Arabidopsis thaliana: one gene and its partners. The protein of the gene in region 1 interacts with the protein of each later gene in a pairwise test. Each region holds a gene or a part of one and is shown on either strand. Other genes may lie near its edges. The genes, in order: AT3G02880, AT3G06600, AT5G49540 and AT4G17430.

Region 1 (7,350 bases):
ATTGTAGAGTGCAACTCAAAGTGTAGCTTCCGTTGTTCAGCAACATCACACAAGAAGCCATGCATGTTCTTTTGCCTCAAGTGTTGCAAAAAATGTCTTTGTGTTCCTCCTGGCACTTTCGGCAACAAACAAACTTGTCCATGTTACAACAACTGGAAGACTAAAGAAGGCCGTCCAAAATGTCCTTAAAACTTCTTTTTAGATATATTTGATAATATTCATCTAGTTTTGGATTATCAAACACTTACTACTCTGTTTTAATCTGTTTCTACAAGTTGGCGATTTGTCTCTACACTTTTTTTGTGTCTTTTGCTCTTAACTGTTGTGTTTGTTATACGTGTAAGCCCGCCCAATGTGTCATGGCCGAACTTATTATGGTTACATATTTATGAAATGGGCTTCATTATCAATTGATTTGAGCCTACAAAAATGTAGCCATAAAGCCCATTAAGTTGTAATTGTTAATATTTCAGTCATAAATATGATTTTCTATATCTATGATTTATCTCTAGTGTTGATGATGTTTGTATGTGGAAGTCATGTTCTATTTGCTTCCACGGTTTAAAAACCATCAACTTGCTAAGGTCAAATTCTAATATTACTGTGAAAAACATTATTTACGTGCGTAATTATATGAATTTATGAATAGGTTTTAATTCCATTTTTTCCTAATAGTGTTTTATGTCAAAGAGTATCCCACTAATAAATTTATTGAACCCCATGTGCATATGTACCCAGTCTGGTACGAGTTGGAACATGAGATAAAGTTGTGGCAACTGCCCATGACTCGGTGTAAATGGTATATCACATGAAAAATTATAAGTCCAGATCACAATATGTTTTCTTCAAATAATTCGAAAAATTATCTAATCGATTTCCCTTTAAGCTTGAACTAAATAGTTTATCAGCACTAGTAATTCTTTCATACAAAATCTCTAAGCAAATATATATCTTTCTGGGTCAATGTTGTTTTTTCATATCTAAAATGTTTTTTCTTTCTCCTGTGAAGTAGGGTTATTAGTTAGTGGTTACCAACTTCACATTATAAAACTTCATATCTAATCAAATCGTGAAGTATTTGTCAGTCAATCGTGAGACGATATTCATGACCACTTTTGTCGTTGACTTTGTTTTTGGCTCAAAATTTTGGACGGCGATAAAAAATAAAACTCGTTGACATTGTTTTTTGGCTGAATCGTTGACTAGGATTCTGGGATAAGATGTGTAAAGAAGAAAACAAAAACCAATTTATTCACACGCAATCAACTATATATTTATACAAAAATTAGCAAAAGCAATAGTTTTATAGACATTTTTAAAACTTTGGAAATAAAGAAAAGTAGAAAGAAAGAAAAAAAGAAACTGATAGGTCTCATCTCAATTTGAGGCTCAAGAATTAACGAACAAACTAGAACAAGAACAAAGAAGAAGAAGTAGAAAAAAGGCGGGAAGTGGGGTCGACACTATTCAAGAAATTGCAACTTGACCCCAAACAATATTCAAATCAATCAATTTAGACCCCCAAAAAATCAGTCGGATACAGGATTTGGGGAGCCAGATGAATGAGAAACCTCCTCAATGAGTCTGGTGACTTCAGCCATCGAAGGACGACTATCTGGGAACTGAGCCGTACAGCTCATACCGATCTTCAATAAACGAATGATGTTCTCATTGCCCTCAGGTTGGTACCTTGTGAGCTCGGGATCAAGCACATCGGACGGTGTTTGTTGCTCGGTAACAGATTGGACCCATCTCGGCAAATCTACGCCTTCTTCATTCAACTGCTGATGCGTTGGAGACTTACCTGCAATGTAATGTTCCATGTTAAAACCTAGAAACCACAGCAATTGCAAAAAAAGCAGTTAAAAAGATATATCTATCCTTGATTGTTTGTTACCTGTGAGTAATTCAAGGATTAGGACGCCAAAGCTATAGACATCAGCTTTTTGGGATATTTTGCGAGCATCAGTGATTTCAGGGGCACGGTAGCCATCAATACGGTTAGGTGCAGATGTAGAACTAATGATGGGAGCAAGACCGTAATCAGAGACCTTAGCTTCATAGGAGTCAGATAATAGTATGTTCGAGGACTTAATGTTTCCATGAGAAGTTGTCCCATCACGCGAATGTAGGTAGCTAATCGCTCTTGCAGCTCCTAAGGCTATACCGGCTCTGGTTTCCCAGTTCAACGGAGTTCTCCCGTTTCCTTTGTTCCCTACAAATCCATTAAAAGAGCTTCAAAACCGAGCTTGAAGACACATAAGATAAACTAACTATGAAACAATTCAGTAATCAGTGTCAATTTTAGCCAAACCAGGTCCATCAAGATCACAAACTAGCATCAGCTAAACTAAGAACCCTAAAAATAAACAAATGCACAAATGGAGATTACTATTCTATACCGTGCAATATCGCAGACAAGCTTCCTTTAGACATGTACTCAAAGACAAGAAGCTTCTCGTCACGGCTGAAATAGTAAGCGATCAGAGTCACGAGATTGGCATGACTCATTGATCCCAAAACATGCAATCTCTCTCTGAACTCTTTCTCAGGCACCACAACATCTCTTAACCGTTTCACAGCCACCACTAACCCATGCTCAAAGCTTGCCTTATACGACGACCCAACTGTTCCTTTCCCAAGAACCTCAGCTGAAGCCTTCAACAATCCATCCAAATCGAATTCCCCGAAAGATTTCACGAAAAAGGTCAAATCTTTATTCACCGCACCACTCTCCGACCCCGTAGCCTTAGCCGGCGGGACAACAACCACCGTTTCCTTTGGTATAGCAGCGGAGGAAGTCGCAGCAGCGACAGGAGCTTCAACATTCCTAGATGGAACGTTCTCTTCTTTCTTTCTCTTTCTACAGAGACAGAACAGAATCAAAAGAAGCAGTAACAGACCAACAACACATCCGATCACAATCCCGACAATAGCTCCGGCGGATAACTTGTCGCTATCTTTCTTCTCCGGCGGCGTATTGGGTCCTCCAGCGTCACCACCATTGGGGCTCTCTGCCTCACAAGTGTCTAAAGGCTTCCCACAGAGAGTGTTACCTTCAAAAGCAGTTCGAGGCCAAGACGACAACGAACTCGGAATAGACCCGTTTAACTGATTAGAAGAAACATTGAATTGCTGAAGAGGAAGCGTGATCTCAGGGATCGGACCAGAGAGTTGATTCCTCTCCAAATACAGAGTAACCAACCGGGTCGCAGAATTGACATTATCCGGGATCCGACCCGAGAATTTATTCTCCCCTAGATTGATTCTGATTATGCTCGGAAGCGTGAAGAGAAGCGACGGAATCTCACCGGAAAAGGCATTACCTTGAAGATACAAGTAACGGAGGAGAACAAGGTTGGAGAAATCCGAAGGGATAGGACCAGAGAGAGAATTGAACCGGAGAGAAAGAGTCTTAAGCTGGGTTAGATTACCAATACCACCGATTGGTAAAGAACCGAATAAACCAGATCCGGGTAATCGGAGAGCCGTGACCCGACCCGCATCGCAGTGGACTCCGTGCCAATTACAAGGAGAAGAAGCACTCATGTTCCATAGCAAAGGACGGCCACGGACACTGTTACGAACAGCGAGTAAAGCTCTCCGGTCAGACTCTAGATCTGAAGTCACCGCAGCGAGATAGAAGACAAAGAGGAAGACAACAGAGAGACTTAGCTTACGCTTATACTTCATCTTCTTCTTCTTCTTCAAAAACCGTGTAAATTCTTCGTCTCCTTGGTTCCAAAAATTCAATAAATATATCGACTTTTTCGGATATGGGTTTTTGGAAAATTTATTTCGGCTACGCGTAAACGAGTGTTTGAACAAAGAGACTTTTGTGTTTTTTGGTTTACAAGAGTTTCAGCTCTGTCTTTCTTCTCTCTCTAGAGCCGGCTAAGAGAGAGAAAATGGTCATAATTGCAGAGAAAAAGGAAAAAAAGAAAAGTTACTAATTGGAATATTTCCTTTTTGACAAAAAAGTTAAAAGAGAATCTTATGTATTTAATTTGACAGCTAATTTACAGAAAGATAATTAATTAATTATAAGGTTATGACTTATGAATACTAGTTGTAACAATTTTATCAGAGTCAACTATATTTGCGTTACATAAATGACAATAAATCACTGCAGTAATGTTTTTTGTAGACGTTTAAACGACCTCTGTTTTTCCTTTCTTTTGTATTAGATCAATAAATTAGGTCTAATTAAAAAATTAATGGTCGTTATCGTTTTGTTTCTTTTATGTTTTTTTTTTTTGCAGGTTGAGTGTGACCAAAGACATGCCAGGTCTGTCAAATGTGTCTGAGCTACCGTTGACAAACAAAGATTAGCCTCTCCGACACCGTTTTTATTTCTGATATAAGTTTGTACCATAGACATTTTTTTTTTTTTTTTATGTATTTGTTGTATCAATTTGAAAGGAAGGTAATAGAAATGGTCAACAGAGAACTTAAGAAGTGGTATTCATTTTGAAGATTTCAATTGTTCAATTTTTAAAACTCTTACATCAAATTTATTTTAATAGAAGTGGTTGGTTTCTCGTGACTATTAACAAACATTCTTCCCAACCCGAAACCTAACCTCACCTAACTTTCAAGTTCAAATACAAATAGATGATGACTAATATAAGCTGATTTTCTCCCAACACCTTCTATAATTCACTCTTAACCTCTTCTTCATGGCTATGACCATGTTCGTCCAAATAAGAAACGGCCATAGCTGCGTGAAGAGCAGCCCCAACAGGAAGAGCTTCTTCATCAACAAAGAAGTAAGGCGAGTGAAGCGGCTTACCAGCGCCTAGCGTCTCATTCTTTACCCCCAGCACGAAAATCGCAGCCTTAGTCTTTTGAGTGAAGAAGCTGAAATCCTCTCCTCCCATTGTCACCGGGAAATCATGGAAGTTATTCTTTCCAATCATCGCTTCCGCTACTTTTTTACCGTGCTCGTATAAGCCCTCGTCGTTATTCATTACCGGGTGAAGCGACGGCTTTTTCTCTTCGAAGTTTACTTCTGCTTTGCATCGGTATACCGATGCTTGTGCCTCTGAAATCTGCATCATCATCAAGAAACATTTAAACAGGGTTAGGGACCTACATTATTCGAATAGTAGAACAAGATTGTATAGAAAAATGGTGTAAAAAACAATCTCTTTACCTCTTTGATCCGTCTTTGGATAAATAGAAGCCCATCGTTGCTTAAGCTTCTGAAAGTACCTCCAAATTTCGCACTCTGCGGTATTACGTTTTGAGCATGACCTCCTTCAATATATCCAACTGTAACCACCTGAGAAACATAAAAAAACCAATCTCCGCTGATTTCAGCCAAGATTCTGATTCATCAAACACCAATGCTTTGAAAGTGGAAAGCAAACTTACACCAGCTTCGAGTGGATCCAGTTCCCGCGAAACAATCTGTTGCAAGGCAACAACAGCGGAAGAAGCTGCAAGAACCGGGTCTTTAGAGAAGTGCGGTGTAGCTGCGTGGCTACCTTGACCGTGAACCGTGACTGTAAACAATCCTGCACCTGCAAGAACGGTCCCAGGCCTAGAACCAATACCACCTGATGGGATCGATGGAAAGACATGAACACTGAGTATCCCATCTAAGTCGTCTAGAATCTCGTCTTTTAGCATTTCATAAGCACCTGCATAACCTTCCTCGCCTGGTTGAAACACAAGTTTTACTGTCCCCTGTTGCAAAAAAATTGTGTTTTCGTTCAAAACCCTCATAAGATTCACCAAACTCTCATAAGACACACACACTAACAACTCTAGAAAACACACACACATAACAATTAGCAATCAAAGACATACACACACATATATCTAAGAATCTTAGAAAACACTAACCCACATCGAAATGAGTTTTAATTGCAGGGCACAGACAGAATCATTCAAAATTATACATATAAATTGAGTGAAAGAGAAAAAAGAGAGACCTTGATGAGGTGTTTTGTGGTTTGAAGAAGCTTAGCAGCACCAAGAAGCATAGCAACATGAGTATCATGACCACAAGCATGCATCTTTCCATCTACTTTACTTTTCGATTCCCATTCCACTAATTCCTTTTTTTGTCCCCATTTTTTCAAATTCATTAGTCAAACAAAGCAATCTAAAAATCAGAGTAAAAATCGGAACTTTGATTATTAGATTTCAAACCTGTAACGGAAGTGCGTCCATGTCGGCTCTAAGTCCGAAAACAGGTTTCGAACAGGATCCGATCCAAGCGACGACGCCAGTCTTCGCCACAGGATACTTATACTTCACTCCAAGCGAGTCAAGCTCGTCTCGAACGAGTTGACTCGTTTTGAACTCCTGAAACCCTGTCTCTGGGTTCTCATGAATCTTTCTCCTAATTCCTCTCATCCACTCGAAGAACTCAGGATCCTTGGCTGAATGAAGCATCCCGCGAGCGAGTGACTCGAGACCCGAACCAGAATCGTAGCTCCCAGCTGAAGACAGAGGAGGGAGAAAGAAGAAGGTAACGAAGATGACAAAGAAGCTCCCTGAGAAATCCATTCTGATTTCTTTTGTTTGTCGATGTAAACTGGCAAGTGTCAATGAAAGAAAGGACAACGGTGAATACGATGATGATGAAGGAGAAGGAGTTGGATCACCGATCCATTTTTAATATTTATATAGTACGTAATTTACACACGTTTTTGGAAACTCTTTTAATCGTTTTTAAATACGTATACGCCTCTAATGTGAAATTCATAATTTATGGTTGTAATGTGAAGAAAATAATGAAATACCAAAGATAAAATATGAAAATGATACAATGTAGTATATTTACGGTATAAAAGGAATATTTACTTGAAATGAATTAGTACGTTTAATACACGATTTTACCATTTATGTTAATGAAAATTAACACTTTTAAAATAAAACATGGCATGAATTAGAGTTGTGAGAATCACATGTAGGCCTTTAAGGTTCTTAAATTTTTAATTCCTTATAACATAGGCCCATGTATTTGATTGACATATAGGCCATTGGGTTCTTCGACTTTTAAATTACTTATAACAAAGGCCCACCTATTTGAAGCGCATTGTTAAACATTTTGTTTATATTTTGATTATGATCGAAAATTCTCTAGAACAATTCGTACAAAAGAAGCTGTTTACGAAAGTAGCTGTACATGCGAACATAATCAATAAAAATGTAAATGACTAATGAAACATCAGAATATCCGTACAAAATTGTGACTTTATATTATTTAGTTATAGGTACAAAGTTGTGGAGAGTAAAAAAATAAAAAAGGTAAAAAGTTGTGGAATAGACCTATGAAACAATCACAAACATACAACCAAAATGCAAATTGTAATTACGCAACAGAGGCTTTCTTTT
Region 2 (9,464 bases), 1.4 Mb from region 1:
CATATTGAATGAACTAAAAGTACATCAAAAGTTCCATATTGGTTTAGTTATCACATACTATGAGGTTAAAAGAGGAACCCATTTTCCCACTAACTCCAATAACGAATTCATCAATCTTATTTTTTTTTTGATCAACAACGAATTCATCAATCTAAATCAAATAATCCAACTACGATTTGAACCCTAATGGTAAAGACTTTATTAATCAATCATATACTTAATTTAGACTTGAGGATCGTAAAAATGGGAAGACTCGGTTCAAAATTTACTTTTACTTGTAGCAGAGAAGAATCAGCGGTTGGGAAGAGTAGTTACAGATTATAATCAAACCGAATCTTCTATATACACATAAGCTGTGAAAGATCGAGAGATGGTAGAATTAAAAAGACGATTTTAACCTCATCAAATCGGTGGAGGAGCTGAGCCGTAGGAGGAGAGAAGCTGAACTAAAGAGTTCATGGCTCTCACTTGCATCTCCAGAGCCTGAATATAATCAGTTGCTTCTTCTAGAATCACCGGTACGGATTGTTTACCGCAACCGGGAACTAACCGGCCTAGAACACGTACTTTCCGGTTAACATCCGGTATACTCTTCTTATTCAATCTCAACACCGACACTCTCCGTTTTCTCGATCTGTTGCTGCTGCTACTAACCACCGTAGTCATGGCCGGAATCGCCATCGTAGCTCGAGGACGTCTCTGTTTACGAAATTTCAGTTTGATCCGATTAGCTAAGATCGCTCTGCTCCAGAGTGTTCTTCCCCGAGCGGAAACGGCAAGAGCTCGATCGGCGGCTTCACGGACGGCCTTTCCTCGTTTCTGAGCCGTTGGAGATGATGATGTTGAGGCGGAAGAGTTGAGGCGGACTTGTTGGAGCGCTTGGAACAGTTTGGCTGAGTAGATCCGTTGTTGCTTCTCCGATCGCCATCGCGCGTGAATCTCACCGGAGACGGAAGATGCGCTTGAACGAGACGATGCGGCGGATGAAGCAGAGGATCTCTTCTTTCTCCGAACGAGATCTGAAGTAGTACTCGTCGGCGGTTCAATATCTGAGATCAGAGACGCCATAACCAAATAATTGGCTCTGATCTCCGCAGTCGTATTGAAAGAGCTACAGAATCCGAATTTATCTGAAGTTGAGCGGAAGAAAGTTATGAAATTGTGGAGAATAATGGAAGGGAGAAGAAGAGGAAGATATATAAAGGGAGAGAGGTATCAACTATCACGAGACGTAGCAGTTAACAAACGGCCCCGTTTTAGATGTAGCAGTTAATAAGCGGCGTCGTTTTGTCAATTTGTTTTTTAGTATTTGTTGTTTTAGCCAGATACGAAAGTGGCATTTGTAATGCATGATAAAGAGAATTCGTGAATACCACCAAGAAACAAATAATTTCATTCTCAACACTAGTGGAATTGATAAGTTATAATTAACTGGCTCTATAACCTCTAATGGTTTTGGAATAATGAGAGACAGAGACATCATTGTGACTTGAAGCAATGTTTATGAATTATGATTATACTTAAAAAGTTTTGTTCCACGTTGATTAGTTCACAATTATTTTTTTAAACTTACCCTCTTGACAGAGATTTTAGAAAGAAATTTATATACAAAATTTCTTACAATCACGAGTTTTCGATCTTTTGTAGACATAATCTAAATAGAGAGTAAAATACATAATAGAAATGCTACAAAGATCCTAATGTGGGTAGAGCATCCATAACGATAGTTTCCAATCAATTTAGGGTACAATCTTAATTACTAAATTAGCTTATTGATATCTAAAGATGTTTACGAAAAGAGAAAACAAACAAACTTGTATAAAGGCCGATACTTTGGTGGAATGGAGGAGGAAGGTAGATTCAAACGAAAGGATGACGTGTCATATTACTATTGGAGAAATCCATTTACGACTTATAGTGGTCGTTTAATGGACTGACAGGGCAAAAAGAGAGGGGCCAAAAACTCAAAACTTTGGATTTTGTATTCAGTGCAATGATTTCGTAAATATTGGAATTGTATTTAAAATACTACTTTACGCATAAAGTAATATACCAAACGAAATGCATGTGCGATGTAGGGTTAGTGGCACTGCCTCTCTTTACGGCTTTTTTTTCTTTCCCTGTAAAGAAAAGATCACTGAAATTAACTCCTGTATTTTATCAAAAAAAAGTTTTGTATGTGTATCTATCAATATGTATGAATAAAATTTCATTAAATTTTGTGTATATGTATAAGTAGATATAAGATTAATAGATTGTTGGGTAAAGTATAAGGGAGTGGCGTCATTTTATTCATATATCCTGCTGAAAAAAGGAGCTTCTGAACTTCTCCATTGGGTTAATTCATATATAAATAAAGCTAGCTACGTTCAAACTAATTTTCTAGAAAAGTTACTGTTAGTTTGATTTTTGTTTGTACTGTTCACTATGTTGAGTTTGATCAGCAGTTAAAATGGAAAATACCTATCTTAGTTTATGTTAGACATAAAAGTACCACAATGGTATATATACTGTATTAAGATGTTTTTAGGCGGGTGGAAAGGATGTTAGAAACAGAGCGCAATGCGCAATGCTTCATAGATAATAGTATTCATTTAACCTAAGGGCTAAGGGTTAATAATTGTGTCAGTAACGTGGCATATTCTCTGTACCTTAGAAAGTTATAAGCTAGAATGATTCCACATGACAAATTAATGATAAGAAACAACATATCCAATTATTCACTAAAGTGTCACTTACAATAAAATAGTTTATCTACTTCGAATTTAAGAATATATTTTCGATTTAGATACTTAAATTTTCTCAATTTATACTTTAGAATCAAGCAGAAAATTTGTTGGTGAAGAACAAAGCAACCTAATGAATTATCTGTTTTACGAACTGAGTCAAAGAAACCACTATTCGAATCTGCGATTTGCGTAATTCTCATGGGCTCTACTTCAACAACAACAACAAAAAAAACATGTATCACAAAGGTTGCTGGCTGTAATTGTTATCTTCCATTAATAGAAATAAATATATTTCGGATTGGAAGTTCAAATTTGTTACTATGAAAATTTACTACTGTAAATCATAATTCCAGCTATCTAAGGTTTTCAAATTTATTTGCAAATCATTATGTATCTCGGATGTAATGAGTTTTTTCTTATTATATTAATGAAAAAAGTTGATAAGGAAAGGAAAACTAACTATTAAGTATGATGAAGGTGGCACAGAGATTGCCTCCCTAATTCTAGACACCAAATAAACTAAGTGAACGACAGACAATGGAAGAAGAAGGACTAGTTTCTTTTTAAAGGAAGAAAAAGGGAAGTATTGATTAGATTAACAGATGATGATGCTCAATCATTGTTTTTTCAACGGGTCTATTTTGGATTGCTAATATGAAATGATTAATAGTCTTTTGGTAAATTTAACATCAACTTAACAACACTTTTCAGAGGCAAATATGAAAACACTAACCTGTGTAGTTTTTTCTTTTTTCAAATGATATTTCCAACTTCTATGTGTTTCGCTTCATCAGAAGTAGTTGATTTTTTGTCCCTGGTTTCTCACAGTGATAGCAGCCAAATCCTGTTTAAATAGTAGAAATATGATTATTGTTAGATTACGTACACTAATTTATAAGCATTTGGAAGCCTAACTCTTAAGTTGCCATCATTGTTTTACCAACAACACTGAGCAAACGTGACAATTACTTGACCAATGACAATCTTTGTTGTGAATCGAAAAGCTGAATTTCCAACCCATGATTTGCCTAGGTTTAATACCAGCTTTTCATCATACACGTGAAAAATAATTACTCCTAAATCTATAGTGGGAATCCAATTCGAAAGCAAGACTCAGTTTCTCACAAAAAAGTCATAGACTGAACTATACAAACGCCACGAAAGTAAGCAAGAAAAATGATATAGACCATTGATTACGTAATACACAAAATATGGTCATTAATCAATGTCAAGACACAAGGACAAGACTGATTAAGAGAAACAAACAAAACTCTTCTAATTGGTTTCCACTAATTTAAATCACTAAGCCGGATTTTTCTTTAATCACACAGAAACTTTACTTCAAAAGTAAACCAACAAGAGCTGCTTCTCTTTAATACATGGCATATATTAGTATATTCTCTGGTGTTTAGTGGCCTACTACTATATTAATCTCCAGTAGAAAAGCCAAACACCAGTCTGGATTATTCTGTCATTCATTTTCTATATACAGGACTAGTTTCTAAATCCTAATCTTTGTACCATTATCCATAATGGAGAATAAACCTAACCTAATACCTCGAAGAGTTTATCCTAATAGTTGTGAAAGATCAAATCAAGTAATTACCCAAAAAGCTTAACAGGCTGGACTTTCCATAGGATTTGTCTGGCTTAATATACAAAAATGTAAAGAACAGCTTGCATGAGAATGGAAACAAAGGCTAGCACATGTCTTGGTAAGATCTATATAACCTATCGATTTGAGATGCACATAGAAACAAGCATGCTATATATATGAAGCAAATAAATTAGGTGGGGTTGCATTACATTGTATCAAACAGAGCTAAGAATGGAACACATCAAGGTATATTAGAACCTAGCAACTTAAATGCTACAGAAGCCTATGTATCAAATGTGTGATGGAGAGAAGACTTTGCATTTGGATAACACAAGTCACCATAGATGAGACGATCAAGTGTCATATCAGTTGTGCCAATAAAATTTTAGGGATCAATCATTGGTTAGGACTTAGGAATGAGACTAACTAGCTGCTTATGAGGCCTACTTGCAAACTCACTCTCAACCTACCAATGGATCTAGTGAGAGACTACTTGGTTTGGGCCTAGCATGAGCTAAATTTAAAACATTCAATCAGAAGGCTTAGGAAGTTTAACATTCAACAAAAAGGACACAGAGAGAAGAAGGTAGCATTTCAACCGCATAAGACTTCACTGAGATATCTGTACTTACTTTTACTAGAGAACGTGTGTTGCAGTTATTTTTAAAGAGTGAATTCTAAAAAAAAAATAAAAAACAATGTTAGAACTGATCTTTCCTTTGGTAGACACATCCCAGTAGTTGAAATATGTTAATAGTGTTGAAGTTCAAGAGGTGCTAATAGCCAACTTAAACTAAACAGCTGTGACCTTCATTAGCAGAGATGCAACATAAAATGACAAACAGGATAAATGTGCTATTGAAGGCAGATCAGTATACAACCCCAATCTTATGCAACGTTGAAATTATTATTGTTATCATCCTATGAGAAGGAAACCAGAATCAATGTGACAAAGGTAAGAAACGTAAAGTGAATTACCTTGAAGAATCATGTTGGAAGTGGTCCACGGTAAGCACGTTCCTCTCCTGAGCTGAAGAAGACCACAATCGCAGCTAAGATAGCCCAAAGAATGAAACTCAAAAGCACAATGCGGAATTTCACAGTAACAACTCTATCGACCCAGTTAATTTCTGCAGAATTGTCAACTGAACAGATCAGTTTTTTCAGCTCATTGATCTCCCCACGCAAGGATTGCACAGAAGCGGGCAAGTCCACAATCGACTGGATCCGATCAGTAGAAGACGTGTCAATACGAGCCTCCACACTAGTAATGGTTGAAACTGGAGAATCATCAGCCGGAAGACAAATCTCTGGGGTTGACATTAAGTCTAGGCTCGATCCTTGAATAACACTCTGAGGAGAGAACAACATAATTCGAGCCAGTAATCAGTACCCAGACACATAATGGCTAAAATTGAGGTTTAATCTTTCCAATTCGTCATCAAGCGCAGACAAAATCGATTCAATTTTCGAAAATTTAACATCTAATCTTAACGGATCTGAGCGTTTACAAAGCAACACAACGAAAAACTTCGATGGAAACTAAACCTAACTAAAACATTGGAGCGAAGCATATACCTCAGCCTCGGAATCAGAGATCGCACCAGAAATCTGAGAGATCGGACTAAAATCCATCGGATCCTTCGTGCTTTCAAAAGATACGTCGGAAAATGTTGCGATCTGTCTCTTCTCCGTCGTAACCTTCAGTTCAGAGAAGCATTGATTCGAATTTGAGTAGAACGATGTGGGAAGAAGAAAACAATGGCGATTTTAAGGATCGATCTAATAAAATTACCTTCCGATTCTTCATCTCAGGATCCTTGAGTCTCTTAGCTCCGAGTTCTGATGAGCGCGCGAAGCTTTTCCTGGGAATTTGAATTTCCTTCATCTCTCTCCAATGTTTTCAAATTTGGAGCTTGTCAGTTTTCGAAAATGTGAAATAGTGAGTGAACTACAAAACTATCAAGCAAGATAATTTTATTTGTAGTACGCTTCTTACATGGGCTTAAGGGCCGATAACTATTTTTATTCAAGGCCCAATATAGATCGTTCTCGCTCATCGCAAAATTAACCTACTAAACCGGAATTCGGTTCGGTTGTGGTATTGTTTAGCCGGTTTGGTTCCAGCCTCACCCGATAGAATTAGCCTTTAGGGTTTCTAACGTCGAAGCTTGAAACACTATCGAACCTCAAAATCTCTGTTGCCGGAAATTTTCTTCACCGAAACTGAAAGAAGTCGAAAGAGAGAAGAGAAGAAATTGAAGCAATGGAGGGAGCAGAGGAAGCTGGGGCTGAGATAGCGGTTGATTCAAAGGACTTGCAGCAACAAAGCAAAGCTTTCGACAAGCTCACCGATCGTGTCGAGGATCGCCAGCTCGATTCCTCTCGTGTTCAATCGGTATGTAACTCTTTCGTGTCCTGATTTCTGAAAATATTAGGAATTCCGAAATTTTTTTAGCTCGATTAGTAAATTGAAAAGTCGGTATCGTGTTTCAGGCTATGGCTTCGATTGCTGCTTCTAGGGAGGCTGATCTGAATGCTAAGAGGTTGAGGTAAAAACTCTAAGCTTTTCCCGTGTTCTAAATTCTGAAATAGGAGATTATTAGCAATGCTTAATGAAGCTGTAACATAAGTCAAACTCGTTTGTTTCCATTCCTAATTCAGAATTAACTTGATTAATTTGATTACTGCGTTACACTTGTAGTTCAAACTGTAGCTAATCTCTCTGTACAAATTGGTGTTTATCTGTTTTTTTGGGGCTTGGCAACACTTAAGTCTATCTATTTAGACCAAGAGTGTCAATTTTGGAGAATCTGTTTGTTTTTTTGAAATTACTCACATCTAGATAGTATTGACGCCAGATATCAGTTGTGCTGTAATAGCTTTTACTAGAGAAAACACAGCGAGAATGATCAACAAAACAAGTAGAACTTATTATTAATAAGTGATTGAATGTGATTTACGAGTCAATATCATCTTTCGGAAAAGATTAGACTTTTCGTTGTATTTGATTGACAAAGTATTGGAACTTTATGCAGGGAGAAAGAACTGGCCTCTGTGAAGATCAATCCTGCAGATGTTGAGTTTATTGTAAACGAACTTGAGGTTAGCTTCTTTTTATTAGCTTCTTCTATGCATGTGTTCACAAAGTTCTGAAGTTTGTCACCATTGTAAATGAGCAGATAGAAAAGAATGTGGCGGAAAGAACTCTAAGGGAGCACAAAGGTGATGCGGTTGCTGCGACTAGGCAATTGCTTTCACGATATCCTCTATGATGGAGCAGGACCATTCTTTACTTCCAAGGTTTTTTGTATGTTTGAGAGGTTGAGAGCAAGTCTCCTAATATTTAACCGAGTTAAAATTGTCTATTGCTGAACCGATCTCTCTGAGAAGCCCTGAATACAGTTACAATCGATTCTGGGGTGGTGTTTTGTGGTTCTACCTGAAGTTTGAAGTTCAATCTTATTATCAAGATATAAGAATGTGTTCTTCGTTTACTTGGTCTTGGAGCTGTAAAAAGCTTGTGGGATAATCATGGAACATTGGTACAGTACTACTTCAAAGCAAAACAAAATAGAAATACATTCAAGTTTCTAGAAAAAGTTTGAATTAGACTGATGCACAACGAGAACTTCCAAACGAAGGTATTCATTGAAACAAGAAGTTTGTTGATCAACCTGTAGGTTAGTGATAACTTCTAATTTGACAACCTTTCAACGTAGGTATAGATTACATAAATCCCCCAATAAATGTCTGTTCCAAAAAAAATTGGTGTTACAATATTCTCTCAGAACTAGAGTTCCAAACTCCCTTTTTTTTCCTCTGTACAAAATATCATCAAATGGTTCTACCACACTTGATCGCATAAATGTTTAGTAAGAATAATATATGCAATCCAATCTCTTGCCCAACCTACCCAACTTTGCAACTTCACATCAAATCCCTTTCACGCACTTTCTTTAAGCTTCCACCAGAGAAATAGAGACCAGAACCGACCACCAGAATTACAGTAACTAACCTGAGCAATACGTTTCTTTTGGTAGTTTGTGTAATGACCCAAATACATCACAACACAACTCCCATAATTTCAGTGGCAGTCTCTGCTTATAGGTCTCCTCCACGCTGTAATTACACATCAACCCACTGGTACTACTGCTCAAACAGACCCATTCTCTATCTTTCTCTGTTCTCATGAACGTCTTTGAGTCTTGAAGCATGGCATTGAGGAACAAAAAGGTAAAAAGGCTCAACTTTTATTTTAATTAGTTGTCCTTGAGAAGAGAATTGTCAGATAACGCAGCACGAGTCGCTTGGAACTGTATCATATACTTTCTTTGCAGGTCTCTTAATTTATCCATCAGTTCTTGGAATGTGGGTCTCAGCTTTGTATCACTGCCGCGTGGACAGACCAAAATAAAAACACAAATCAATGTCAGCATCAGCTATGTAACATGTAGAACACCTAAATCAAGGAGAACCATAATAATTAAAGGCTACACACGGATTATGCAGTGTTCAATATGTTAATGTACCTGTGCCAACAGCTCTCCATTAATGAGATCCAACGAGGATCAATGTCTTTTGGGATTTCCAGCCTCTGGTCCATGAACCCCACAGCTCCAATCACCTGCACATATTTCAAATAAGCATCTCGTCATACTTGATTCGTGTATAGAGAGAGGATATGCAGTGAAACTGAAATTGGAAGTTTTCGGCAATCAAGTCGTGCAATGGAATTAGGAGTTAGGACATCAAATTCGTAGCGATGTGGTATAGTATGACTATATATAAAGAACACACTTCACTTGTATCTTTACATTTTACAGCAAGTACAATCGTTTTTATGGTTCCCACTCTCTTAACTCTCAAGTCTTAATTAGTACAACGGATTTTAACATATCGACCCTGGAACTATTCTTCTGACATAAAGATTCTAGTTATTTGTTTTAGCATAATTGACAGAACATAGAATGTAGTTTTTAAGTGAAACTTTCCCGATTTTTAGATTTCTAGGACAAAGTGTCACTTGGAGACGCTTTCTTATTATTTCTCTATCTATCAAAAATGATACCTGCATAGAGTTGAGAGTTTCCCATGGGATCTTCTCGGTGGCAAGCTCCCATAATACTACTCCAAAG
Region 3 (6,146 bases), on another chromosome or scaffold:
TTTCCAGGTTTCTGAAATACTAACTGAAGACTCTAGCATCGTGAAAGGGGTTAGTTTGTCTTCAATGATTTGTGGATGAAGTGAAAACGTGAATCAAACTGATATGACATTACCTGGTATAAGGTTTTGCTTGCTGATGGTACACGGGTGGAGTCATCGGCTATATTGTCCAATGCGACCCCTTACAGAACTTATGTGGTAAATCTTTTTAAATCATAAGTTCCAAACTCCCAGTATATGTCAGTTAAAATTTTGTTGTTTGCTAACAAATTTACGTTTGTTCTTTCTGTCTTGGATAACAGGAGTTGGTTCCGACCAATGTTCTTCCTGAAAATTTCGTCAGTGCTATTAAGAACTCAGATTACAGCTCTGTAAGGATTCCATGTCGTTTAAGTCCCTCACTCTCTGGATCAAGAGAAGATAGATTTCTCTATAGGCGGAATTGGTTTTTTTTTTAATTACACCATCTAGCTAATTATCTGGTGATTTGTTGTTTAATTGTTGTGAACAGGCAACTACCAAAATAAACTTGGCTGTTGACAAGTTACCACAGTTCCAGTGCTGCAACACAAATCATTCAGGTCCAGGTCCAGAGCATTTTGGCACTATACACATTGGTGCAGAGAGGTATCATTCGTGCTAATTTGTTCCTCATTATATGTATCTCGAAGAACAAATAATAATACAAATAAAAGTGATCAATGGCTCTGTTCTATCTTCTCTCTGTCAGCATGGACGAGGTTCACTCAGCATGTCATGATTCTGAAAATGGCTTACCATCGAGAAGACCAGTGATCGAAATGACTATTCCATCCACACTAGACAACACCATTTCTCCCCCAGGTACACATTCTCCCCCTTTTGCTTGTTTAGGATTTGAACTCTGAATGTGATTTTGTATGTAGGGAAGCATGTAATCAACTTGTTCATCCAGTACACTCCTTACAAGCCCTCAGATGGAAGCTGGGAAGATCCTACTTACCGAGTTAGTTTGTTATACACGCTTGGCTAAACATTCCTTTACACTACAAGACATGCCAAACCCATCTGGATTTGCTTTTGCTTGTGTAAAAATCAGGAAGCCTTTGCACAAAGGTGTTTCAAACTGATTGATGAATATGCACCCGGGTTTAGCTCATCCATCATTAGCTACGACATGTTGACTCCTCCGGACCTGGAACGGGAAATTGGTCTAACAGGTATATAAAGTGAAGTACTTGGAGAAAGATCCCAAGTACATGCGACATGGCCAAACCATATTGACATGACTGCCCATTTGTATTCTGCAGGCGGAAACATCTTTCACGGTGCCATGGGATTAGACTCTCTCTTCCTGATGCGCCCTGTGAAAGGATGGTACGTGACTCCGAAGTACTCAAAACAGTCTTTACGATTTATGATTATGAAATTCAAAACTTTGTTGGACTGTGTGAAACAGGTCAAATTACAGAAGCCCTTTGAAAGGTCTCTACTTGTGTGGCAGCGGAGCTCATCCTGGAGGCGGAGTTATGGGTGCACCTGGAAGAAACGCTGCACATGTTGTTCTTCAAGACTTGAAAAGAATCTAGCGAGTATAATCTCAGACTGTGCAATGTTAACTCTCATGTGTAAGTTGTTTGTTACTGCTCTGAAAACCTCTGTCGTAGGGAGAGGCTTACAGACATGGACAATAGTTGATATCAACGAATAATAAGCCTCCACGTGTAGCTTAACCTAAATATCACTAATTCAACAAATATGGAAAGTGCCCTAAACAACAGAAGAGCCATTGTTTATTTGTCTTTGTCTTTGTCTTTGCGAAAAGAAGTAAATATCCTCATCAATGGCGGATTCACGAGATGATCTAGCTGAATCGCTACAAAATCTATTCACGAGTGTTTCATCTATGGTCAAATCCGAGCTCCAGGTGAAAATCAATCCGAAATTTTACAGATTTATTTGTTTCCACAGATCTGAAATTGAATTGGATAAAAATAGGGAACGAACAACCATCTAGATCTATTGGAGAAGATGAACCTGAGAGTTGCGTCAGAGTACGATGATATGGGTGACGTGGCAGCTGGGCTCAGAGTTTTCGCAGAACAGATGAAATCAAAAAGTGGTGGCTTGGATGAATTTGTAGGACAAATGGATGCTATCGAGAAACAAGTGTCGGAGTTTGAAGCTGTGATCTCTGTTCTAGATCGATATGTCTCTGTCCTAGAATCTAAAATCCGAGCTGAGTATCGTCATCCTCATCATCAGCGTCGCTCTAATGATTCTGTTGTTACAGACTGATGCATTGTAGCAATAATTAATTTTTATCATTACTGAGATTGTTGGAATCGAGATCTGGAATGCTATTTTGGTTTTAGTTGATATTGAAGCTAGATACGAATACGACGAATGATTTTGTCTACATTCGGTTTAAGTTTAACCAAAACTGAAATTTGCATAAATCAATCTGGAACCAAACCAAACGAAAAGCACCTAAGTTTTTTTTTTACCGCTACTCCATATATAACCATTTACCGTACTTACTAATGCATTGGTTAAGTGTTTTGTTAAACATATTAAAACCTCCTAAGCAAACAAAACCAAACCGAATTAATTTCAGTTTGAATGTAATAGCGATGGTTTTATAAAACCAAAACTTGGAACAAACTGAACTGCTCATCTTTAGTAGTAAGTAACGAATTTTCATAATCACAAATTGTGATGTATAATCATGTTATCCGTTTCAATATCAAGAAATTTAACTAGCATAGTTGGAGAGTGTTGTTAATTTTGATTAGTAGTGGACAATCCGGTTTAAGGTTTGGTTCCGGTTCGATTTTACGGTTTATATATTACTTGTTTTCTCTGTGTTTTTCTTTTGTCTAAAAACACTCTAAAGAACTTAAAGATATTCGTCTGATTGTTCTCTCTCAAATTGGCTCATCCTCTCCATTCAATTCATCCCAAGTACCAAAGCAAGCTACTTCGATCTTCCTCTTACTACTCTCGTTTCTAATTGTAAGTCTATATCAATTCCTTTTCCAAAGTTTGTGTAGATCTCAAAGTAGTAGATCGGAAGAGATCGATAAAACCAGATCGATTAATCATAGTTGCTCCCACTCTCGACTACTTAAGAGATAATCATAAAGTCTTAACCTTTAGGAATCGAAATTTATTGTGATGCTTAGATAGCGAAACCCAGTTATAGAATCATTGAATCAATTAGAAACCCCTAATTTTCCTGTGGAAATTTGCTTAAAATCAATACTTTTTTGGGTTTGTAATCTATACACTTACTCTATGATGTCCAAGTTCTTCCTTTTTTGTTACTGTAATGTAAAATCCAATACAAAGATTTGAAATTTATGTTGTTTCAGATTGTTGTTATCTTAAATGGGTTCATCTGAGAAGAGATCAAAGGATATCATGAGTGACATACCAACTTTCAGTGCAGAGAATTTGCAGAACAATTTGAAAGTCATTCAAAACAGGTCTGATTCAATACAATTCTCTCTCTTTCGTTTTCTTAAAAAGATGATGGTTCTCGGGTTTTTTGACTTGTTATCCCTCATTTTGTTCGTGTTTGCAGCCGGACGTTTCTGTCTATCATAGCTGGTGTCTTAGCAGGAATAATTGGATTCAATGGCTTGATTGGTTTTGTATTTTACTTTGTGGTGATGTTGATCACATCTGTTGGGCTCATGGCTAAGGCAGGATTCTCAGCTGACTTGTACTTTGATTCGTGGAATCGGGTTCTTTTTGACGGTTTTCTTGGTGGCCTTATGGTATATCTTCATTTCCTTTTCTTATTACATTGTTTGTTGCTTCAAGATACATGTTGTTGATCCAACCTGTTAATCTCATACTAATCGCGGTGTTGTTTTCTTTTTCGCAGTCGTTTGTGCTGTTCTGGACGTATCCTTAAACTCAATTTGGTGGTCATACTCATTTTATGATAATGTGCAAAACTAAATCAAAGGTTGATTAGCTTTATGGAAAAACATCTATGGTATGGTGTAGGTAAAAATGATTAGCTTCTTAAGAACCTGTGATTAACATAGAAATGGCCTTTTTGTTTACTTCGTGTAGAATCAAGTATATGCGCAACTCGAAAACAGCTCTCTCTATTCTCTGTTTGTCTCAGTAGGTTTCCTTAACAATGGAGTAGATTTGCGTATGACTTGGTGCACATATTCTGAGGGAACTTCTGCTCCAGATGAGGATGGTGAAACGGCACACAAGATTGAGTTCGGGTTTTGCAGCCTCTTCATCTAAACTGAATTAGATTGACAATGTTTCTCTTGTTCCCTTTTTGAACAACAGTTTATGAGTTCGTATTACCTTTTTTTGTTATTTGAGATCACATCAAACTGTGAAAACCTTTAGATTGAAAAGTTTCAAGTATTTACACTTTCTTCCAATTTCATGTGTTCACATTGTTGTTTTCTTTTTTTTTTACATTCTTGCATGTAAAATATATTCGAATATGCTTAAGATTTCAATAGAGAACATTAGAACACTCTCTGTCAAGTTTGAACTTAGCCGTCTATGTGTATTGTATAGTTCTTTTGTTGCTTCTTATGTTTATTTTCCTGTGTTGGTGTGGCTTGTCTTACCAACTCTAGTTGAGTAATAGAAAAAAGGTTGTTTGATTTCAAAAAGGAAAAACAAAATATGAATATCTCATAACTACTGAACCGTTTACTCATATCAAAATTTATAGACCATTAAAATCTAGTCATGATGATTTAATAAACTCATCATCGAGCTTTCTGTAAAACCCATCCTGAAGAGTTGGTTTCACAGATCTCGTGCATCACCTGTCACACAACACACAGAGTTTAGAGACTAAAACTACGCTTTGGTCGAAACACAAAAAAAAAGTCAAAGAGAGCTCAAGTGAAGACCTTTATATATTCGTTGTTGGTGATTTCACGTTCAAGTTTGGTCCTGCCTGCTGCAAATACCTCAGCCTTCATAAGCTTTGTTCCAGGTGGAGATCCGGTTAAGAGGCTAATGACCACTTCCCTGATGATAAAAACAAAAAAAAAAATCAGAGAAATTAGAGATTCAACCGAAATAAAGAACCAATGTGATCATGTTCCAACAAAAAATAACCTCAAAGAATCATATTCAGGATGGTCTGGAGACGATATGGAGACATAAGACCCGTGAATGTTAGTAGCCACTCCATTTATAACGTCTTCGAGCTCGCCCTGGTAAGCATCCACGGCTAGCGCCACATTCACCGCCATTCCTGAATCAGCTTTTGGATTATTCGATGTCGAAACTGCAAGATCCCTAAGTCCTTGGCAGATCGTCTCATAGCTGCACACAAAATGGTTTATGAATTAACTCTCCTTCCTTTTTCGTAAACAAACTCACATGTTATCAAAAAAATAAATCTGAAAACTCGGAAGTTCAGATAATTGCAAGTATAGTTCCCAAGAATCTCACCGGCAAACTTTGTGAGTTTGAAACACCTTTTTCAAAGCCTTTGGTAACGCCTTCTTAAGTTCTTCTGGCATTTCTTGTGTAACAACACGATGTATCGTATTTTTTGAACTTCCTCCTTTGTCAGAGAGGGTTGTTGGAACCTCCGGTTTAACTGTAACTGAAGAACTTGTGCCAACAACATTCCTCCTTTTATCAGCTCTACTTTTTCCTCCTTGGGCGGTTATTCTCGACTTTAGATTCTCTCTCTTATCCGTCCAAAAAATATCTTGCTCCTTAACAATCTCCGGGTAGGATTTTATGAATGAGACATCAGTGGGCTCTTTGAACTTCCAATCTTTTAGCACATGCCTTTCTTTGGCAAATTCAGTCAACATTCTTTCCATCAAAGGTTTCATCTTGTCACCCGTTGCTTCAACTTCAGAGTACTTTATAGTTGTATTCTGGCTGAACAGAGACAGGACATAATCCCTGGCAGCTTCTACAGGCCCGTCTAGTTTTAGTAGCCTAGTTTTAGGAGTCCATAAACCTTGAACTAACCTGCCATATTCTTGGAGGGCCCCTAAGAAATCCTCGTCTGAGAACTCAGGAGCATAGTGTTTAAGAACACTGTATCGAATCAACGGAGATCCCTGTTATGATCAAACGAGTTAGCCAAATGGCTTATATTTTATTCAAAACTAAGGAGCAGGAACCATATAAACATTATCTTGAAA
Region 4 (6,865 bases), on another chromosome or scaffold:
GCATCTACAAGAAGTAACTAGGAAAGGTATAACTCTTAAGTTTTGAATGAACTGTGCCAAAAGCCAATGCAATGTATTGTTTTCCTTACCTCAGCCCCAGCTGCAGCAATGTTTCTTGCTCGATGTCTCTGATACACAGTGTTTACGACCTTCACATCATGGACAGAACAGAGAAATGCATCTGGCTACACAACAACAAGAAAAAGTCACATCATTGAATGAGGAGGAAAAAGCTGAGAGCCAAGCAGCTAAAGATTGACGGCTCTACCTGGCATAAGATGTCCCCACCAAACATTGCCAAATCAAGCTTCACGGAAAGAAACAAGCCAAAGGTCACCAAAACACATAAGAACGAGATAAGGAGATATACTTATATCAAGCAAGATACTAAATACTACGGAAGGAAATCATGGCAAGTAAGAACCACTAACTGGGAGAATCCTTGCCAAAGAAGGTGCAGCGATACCAACAAATCCATCGTTTTGCCCAGTGTTACGAAGAACTATACTACTAACACTCTTTCCTAAAATCCATTGTACAACTCCAACTTCTTGTTCAGGGGTATAAGTATTATCCATCTCAATGGACCCAGACATGTAGCACATTGAACCTAAAGAACCATATATAATCAGTTAACATATACAATCCAACCCAACAGATCTTACAAAACTTAATGAGGAATCATAATATGGAAATTACCAGGCTTAGCAATGACCTTCTCTTGTGGTTTTAACATTATCTGTCAAAAAAACAATCAAATGCTTGAGTATATATGTCAATCACATAAACACAAAATGCCCAGACTACAAAATAAAATGTCGACCTACCTGAACAACCTGTGCTTCACCACCCAAAATTTGGAAAGGTGTGATCGTATCTTCTTGACTCTGCATCATATAACCACTTGTGAGATTCATACTCCCACAGACACATTCAAGAGATCAATTTCTCACCCAGGAAATAGCTTATTAGCATTATCACTGAATTAGATGTAAGTACACATCACATTACTCAACACCTACATGAGAAAGGATCCTAAAATACTCGCGAAGAAGTATATTCGAACACTAGCCTTCTCGATAGTGACAGACAAGAATACGAATCTAAGAGGCGAGAAGAGAACGAAGATAGAAGACAAACCTGATAGACATAAGGCTGAAATGGAGTAGAGAAAAACGGAGCAGCCATGGCGGTGAAAACCGCAGAAAGATCTTCCAAACAAAAACCTCCGAATCCAAATTTCCACAGAACCAATTGGATTAGAAAACCTTTCACGTCGATGCGAGACGATCAGATCGCAGATCCAAATAACACACTCGAAACACTCTGAGCTCTCTCAAAACTCCGGTCGAAATGTTCGCGGTGGATGTCACCGACGGGAACCCAACAAAACGACAGATTAAATTCGCTTAAATCGGCCTGAAGCTGCACGTGGAATCTGTTTACGTGGAGAGATCTCATTGGTCACAAAATACACATCGACGTAAAATTTCATTTCCGGTTTAATATAATTACATTTCTTCTCAACCAACCCTCTTTCACTAGATTTATTTGGTACAAAATTTCTTATTCAATAGCCGGTTTAAAGACATTGGTACAACAATTACAAATCTTGTCGACCACTAGAGACATCTACAGAACTCACAAAACCTTTACTAAGCAACCATCCCACGCAACCTTTACTCTTCCATTGTTGTGTGTGAATAATCAGAAAGGAACCAAGTAGCTTCATCTATTAATAAGAAACTTAGATAGTTTCCCAAATAACTTAACAACACAAAACAATTTAAGAGCCTGTTTTCATCACCAATAACTTCAAGTGGAGACAGATGACAGATCTATCATCTATCTCTATCCATCTCTATACAAAGACCGGCAAAACTTAATAAAATCACTACACATTGGCTCATCCACCAGATGAATCCAATAGAAATGCAGTCTGAGTTCAACTACTACTACACGCATTGTATTTCCTCATCATCTCTACACTATCAGCTATTGTAGACCCTGGAGTACCAACAAAACCCAGTGAAGCACAGCTACAAACAGCTTCCTCTATGTAAAGCTGCACATTGGATCCTCCATGAGGGTAACAATGGGTCTGCATCTTTTTTATACTATCAAGACTCATCGGAATAGACCCAAATTTCTGGCCGTGACTCGCTGAATCAAGTTCATGCTCTGTTCGCGCTAAGAATTCATCTTGTTCCCCTATAAAGTGGAGCTTGAAATTTGTAGAGTTCTTAGACAAATCACCCAAGTAAGTTCCGGTCCAGTTAAATTCAGGAAGGTCTGTCATTACAAACACATTAATTAGACCAGGATTCTTAACGCTCAAAGCTTCCAACTTCTGATATAAACCCGTAAAAGTGCTCTCCCGATGATTCTTGAACTGGCCATCTAGTAATCTAAGTTGTGCACAAAGAAACGGCGCCTTTATGGTTTCTGAAGCAAATTTCTTTCCCGCGATCATTATCTCTCGAACAAAAGGAAGGAAATCGACCTTCTCAACCAAAGATTTTATCTTTGGAGATTTATGGATATCGATATACAGCTCTGAGCCTTTGTATGGAGCTGTGAAGAGGCTCCCAAATGCTAGAATAGCTGCAGACTCAGCTTCTGTACCATGTCCAAGAGTCTTATACACATCTCTTCGCCTTCTCACGTTGGACAATTTCTTTTTCTTCTTGAGCTTCTCATCAGGCTGGAACGAATCTAATCTCCCATCAGCTTCTCCATTTTTATAAGTCCAAACAGTGGTTCTACAATCTTCATCCACAGCATACAAACATTTATCTACATTACCACGAACTCCAGATAACAAATAGCCACACTGTTTCAGTGACTCATAAGCCTGAGACTGTTCAGCTAAATCATCAGTGCATAGAGTCTCCAAGTCAACACCACACTGTAGTGATGCAAAGTACCTAAAATCAATGACTCGAACAGCCGAAGAAGATACCAGCGACGAAATGTCTACAATATCAGCCATCGAAACGTACCTATAAACACCAACATTTGTCACCCACATTGATCAAATTACTAAAACTCATTACGAAAAAAAAAAGAGATTTTGTACCTGTCAGTCTTAAGAAGCTCAATTGAATGATTCCAAACTGAGATTCGTATCTCGCTGGGACTCAAAACCCTAAATTTAGGACAACTACCGAGAGCAACGGCGTGATGATCCAGAATCGGAGGAATAATTAGGGTCCGATTAAGAATTCCCGCCATAAGAAGCGCATTCTTAAATTCCGATAGCTGATTACTGAATCCACTGTGAGGAGCGTACCAGAGAAACTTCTGACCTAGAAGAGTTCGGGTTAGTATCTCGGATCTGCACTGAGGGAATTGAACGGATCCAGAAAATGCAGAGATTGAGAACAAGGACTTGGGCATCTCGGAGTAAGTGATGAAGAAGACGACGATGAAGAACACAACAAGTATAGAAACGGAGCAAAGAAATATCGCAGATTTGTCGGTTTGCTTCTTCCTGTTTGGCCATGGACGTGGGCTTGGTCTACTGGGATTGAAGAAGTTGTTCATGTTTTTTGCTCTGAGGTTTTAGTCGCCATCATTGCGTTGCGTCTAGTTTTGCTCATGTGTAGAAGATGCCAAAACGGTGAGTGTCACTGTTTTGGGCCTAACTAATATTCTCTGATGGGCCTTAACTAAAATAATACGAACTTAAACATAGTTAATTTTAGAAATCTTTTTGTAACATAATCTATACGAAGCTATTTGCGCGTCCACATAACATTTTAAACAAGCAATGGAGATTAGATATCTTGCTAATTAATATTTATGAACTTATTTTTATTTTTATTCTTTTTAAATTTTTGTAAAATAAAATAAAAAATATATGAAAATAAAAGAATATTTAAAAATATAAAAAATTTCTAAATATTTTGTCACCAAAATAATATTAAAAATATCAAAATGTAAATTTCTATTTTATTAAATTTATACACAAAAATAAATTTAGGTCTTTGGACCTAACTAATAATATTCTTTGATGGCCTAGAGAAATCGAATTCACTAGATGATCTAATATTTGTTGATTTTTAGTCCAAAATCGAATTCACTAGAGAAATTAACCTATTTAGCACTTACATGAATATATTGATCATCATTGATAGACTTAAGCAGTTGTAGTCTTTTAAGCTTTTTACGGGTTCTTTTTTTTCTCTTCTTTTCTTTAAGATCTCTTTATTTATATGTCTAAATCTAAACGTAATTTTCTGGATTTATTGTTAACATATATTAATCCCCATATCAGAAGGATGATAATTGATGTTGATATATCAGGATATAAAATAATTAACTAATGATTTATTTTAGCCAACAAAATATAACATACTTTTAACAAATCGTGATCGAATAACAATAAATTCTAAATAACACTTTAAAACACTAAAAGTCTTTTGAAATCATAAACCAATAACACCCCATGAATAAAAACATAATTAGAAACTTACGCATGCATCAGCTTCCGTAAATCTCCTACATCTCTCTCTCTCCTCTCTGCTTTTTACCTTCTAGGGTTTTTGATCATCTCTCAGGTGAATACGTTTTGGTATAATCTCATACCAATGTCTGCGAATTCCAAGTCGGAGAGGTCTGCTTCTCAATCGGCGGAGACGGTGGCTGTTTCTAACCGTGTCGTGGCGTCACGGTCAAGTCGTCAGCCGCGTCTCTCTTTCTCCTCCTTTGCTCCCTCATCAGAGCACGATAACCTGAAGAAGCTGAAATCCGATGAGATTTCTCCCGCGAGAGAGGAAGTGCCGGTGTCGGTGAAGGAGAGAGAAGAAACGGAGGAGGAGGAAGCGAAGAGGACGTGGAATCTTCGTCCGAGGAAGGCTTATGGTGGTTCGAAGAAAGGAAACGGCGTGTTCACGGCGGAGGTTTGCGGTGGCGGCGGAGGAGGAGGTTCGGAGGTGAAGAATCAGAAATCAGGCGCAGGAATTGAGCCGAAATCGAACAGGCAGAGAGGAATCCCGGCGGAATCACCCGGATTAGGCGGTGGTGAGGTTGCAAACGAGAATCATAGGCTTTGGGTTGCTCTAGCTCGAGACGAGATCGAAGAAGATTTGTTCAGCATGAGTGGGAACAGGTCATCTCGCCGGCCAAGGAAGAGGGCAAAAGCTATGCAGAAACATCTCGATGTAAGTCACCAGGTGTTCGACGAATTGCCTCACAGAGAATTCAAAACAATGACTACGTTTTTTTAGTGTCTCCATTTTCTTAGGCAATTCAATGTCTGCCATTGTAGGTCATTTTCCCTGGATTGGGTCTCGTTGGGATGAATGCTGATTGCTTCAGAGTAGCCACTTCTCCGGCTAAGGTTAGCTTTGATCAGTCCACTTACTTGCTCGATGAAAGCTTGGATCAACCTGCCCTTTAGCTACATTGATCTGTAGATAGTATGAAATGGATGAAAGTCTAGACCTTTAGGTGCTATTACAGATTTTATGAAGTTTCATTCTATGTTAGCTTTACGTAACCTAATGGTACTGCTGCTTTAATGATACAAAACCCGTAACAGCGATTGTATTCCATTTGCAGTGATGATCGATGCAAAGGAGTCTTTTGGTGAAGGAAAAAGGTGAAGTCATCTCCCTAATTGAAACTTATCATTTTCATGGATATATGGTAACGTTGTTATGATATTACATTGCTTGATCTTGTTGAGGTTTGTGCTTAAGTAGTTGGATTTTGTTTCTGCTTTGTTGCAGGGTAGATAGGTATGCTGGTGATCGAGAATCCAGATACATCACAGTAGAAGCTAGGAAGAAGATATCTCAAGAGACATGTTCTTGTCTCATATCAAACTTAGTAGTAACTAAACTATAAGTAAATATCGGTAAGGTCATATAATTATAGATATATATAAAGAGAGAGAGCGAGAGGGGTTTGTTTTTGAGTTAGTAATTAAGATGCGTCTAAGTTTAATGGCAGAGGAAAACAACATAATCTATGTTTAAAAAGGGTTTTTTGAAACCATTTATAACTCTTATTAGCACAGACAATGATTTATTAAACCATATATAACTCTTATTAACACACATAGTTAGAAAGTGTATTAAGATCCATATAAGTTTTTTTAAGTACAATAAGGTTTCTAAGAGAATAAAAGCAAATTAAAAACCTGCAGATAACTTTGAGAAGACGGCTAAAAATAGTTACAGTTCTGCATTAATGTTTCTAATTATTCCAAAAATGTGAAACTAAGAGTGTAGTTTTTGCTTTTACGCTGGTTTATTAATCACACAGTTGTTTCCTCTGTATGACTGTATTTTTTAAAAAATCTGCATACCCACTTAACAACAACCTGCATAAAGAAAATGGCTCACAGTTCATATTCATGTGATTGCATCTTAAGGCTTGAAGTCCTAATGTGAGAATGGAGTACCTAAACCACAATAAGCTAAATGGGCTAATATTCATGATTTCAAATCCAAAAGGCCCTAGAATACCACCAGTTACGACTTCTCTTTCTTTTTTAGGAAAATGTGATTTCTTGTAAATTTTAGTATTTAATTTGCAAGAGCATGCTTACTTTGAAGAAGGTTTGTTCCATTAATTATGAACTCTTCTCATTATTACTATAATGGGAATGATTATATAGGGGTTAGAGCATATAATTGGTTATCTTAGGCCTTTTGTGTTTCATTTTCATCACATGATGATTCTAGTCCACAATCATTTGACTCTCGCCATTTATGCTCTTCTACAGCGAAGCCAAATGGTCAGTTTGTCGGTTTTAATTGTTTCTTTTTAAGAAAATTAAAAAATTAGTTCCGACTCAAAAACTTAATCATTATTACATGTAGTTCTTTGCCGAATAATCAATGAAGAGTATCAT

What was found.
Region 2: the proteins of AT3G02880 (region 1) and AT3G06600 interact in a protein complementation assay, tested with the Arabidopsis thaliana proteins (one large-scale study listed by BioGRID).
Region 3: the proteins of AT3G02880 (region 1) and AT5G49540 interact in a protein complementation assay, tested with the Arabidopsis thaliana proteins (one large-scale study listed by BioGRID).
Region 4: the proteins of AT3G02880 (region 1) and AT4G17430 interact in a protein complementation assay, tested with the Arabidopsis thaliana proteins (one large-scale study listed by BioGRID).

The regions. Positions count from the first base shown.
Region 1 is NC_003074.8:631,162-638,511, reverse strand, and holds AT3G02880 (Leucine-rich repeat protein kinase family protein), read right to left. Parts: upstream 4,048-7,350; 5' UTR 3,694-4,047; coding exon 2,403-3,693; intron 2,216-2,402; coding exon 1,898-2,215; intron 1,805-1,897; coding exon 1,530-1,804; 3' UTR 1,228-1,529; downstream 1-1,227. Other genes in the region: GASA5 (GAST1 protein homolog 5), read left to right, coding at 8-189; ILR1 (Peptidase M20/M25/M40 family protein), read right to left, coding at 4,653-5,051, 5,156-5,284, 5,377-5,691, 5,940-6,065, 6,160-6,519.
Region 2 is NC_003074.8:2,054,245-2,063,708, forward strand, and holds AT3G06600 (uncharacterized protein), read right to left. Parts: upstream 6,270-9,464; 5' UTR 6,215-6,269; coding exon 6,122-6,214; intron 6,028-6,121; coding exon 5,905-6,027; intron 5,680-5,904; coding exon 5,314-5,679; 3' UTR 5,305-5,313; exon of another isoform or gene 5,108-5,304; intron 3,574-5,107; 3' UTR 3,463-3,573; exon of another isoform or gene 3,234-3,462; intron 2,121-3,233; 3' UTR 1,379-2,120; downstream 1-1,378. Other genes in the region: AT3G06590 (basic helix-loop-helix (bHLH) DNA-binding superfamily protein), read right to left, coding at 403-1,068; AT3G06610 (DNA-binding enhancer protein-like protein), read left to right, coding at 6,593-6,724, 6,823-6,878, 7,365-7,431, 7,509-7,601; AT3G06620 (PAS domain-containing protein tyrosine kinase family protein), read right to left, coding at 8,589-8,718, 8,859-8,953, 9,398-9,464.
Region 3 is NC_003076.8:20,102,833-20,108,978, reverse strand, and holds AT5G49540 (Rab5-interacting family protein), read left to right. Parts: upstream 1-2,700; 5' UTR 2,701-2,994; intron 2,995-3,353; 5' UTR 3,354-3,369; coding exon 3,370-3,467; intron 3,468-3,565; coding exon 3,566-3,761; intron 3,762-3,871; coding exon 3,872-3,891; coding exon of another isoform or gene 3,892-3,901; exon of another isoform or gene 3,902-4,144; coding exon 4,145-4,175; 3' UTR 4,176-4,498; downstream 4,499-6,146. Other genes in the region: AT5G49555 (FAD/NAD(P)-binding oxidoreductase family protein), read left to right, coding at 8-49, 124-198, 303-371, 512-627, 731-843, 906-985, 1,079-1,199, 1,290-1,356 and 1 more; BLOS2 (biogenesis of lysosome organelles complex 1 subunit-like protein), read left to right, coding at 1,823-1,906, 1,978-2,277; AT5G49530 (SIN-like family protein), read right to left, coding at 4,737-4,796, 4,884-5,004, 5,095-5,304, 5,434-6,062.
Region 4 is NC_003075.7:9,723,256-9,730,120, forward strand, and holds AT4G17430 (O-fucosyltransferase family protein), read right to left. Parts: upstream 3,580-6,865; 5' UTR 3,547-3,579; coding exon 3,080-3,546; intron 3,003-3,079; coding exon 1,946-3,002; 3' UTR 1,455-1,945; downstream 1-1,454. Other genes in the region: AT4G17420 (Tryptophan RNA-binding attenuator protein-like protein), read right to left, coding at 90-185, 269-307, 432-610, 700-739, 828-887, 1,141-1,188; AT4G17440 (chromogranin (DUF1639)), read left to right, coding at 4,593-5,165, 5,273-5,404.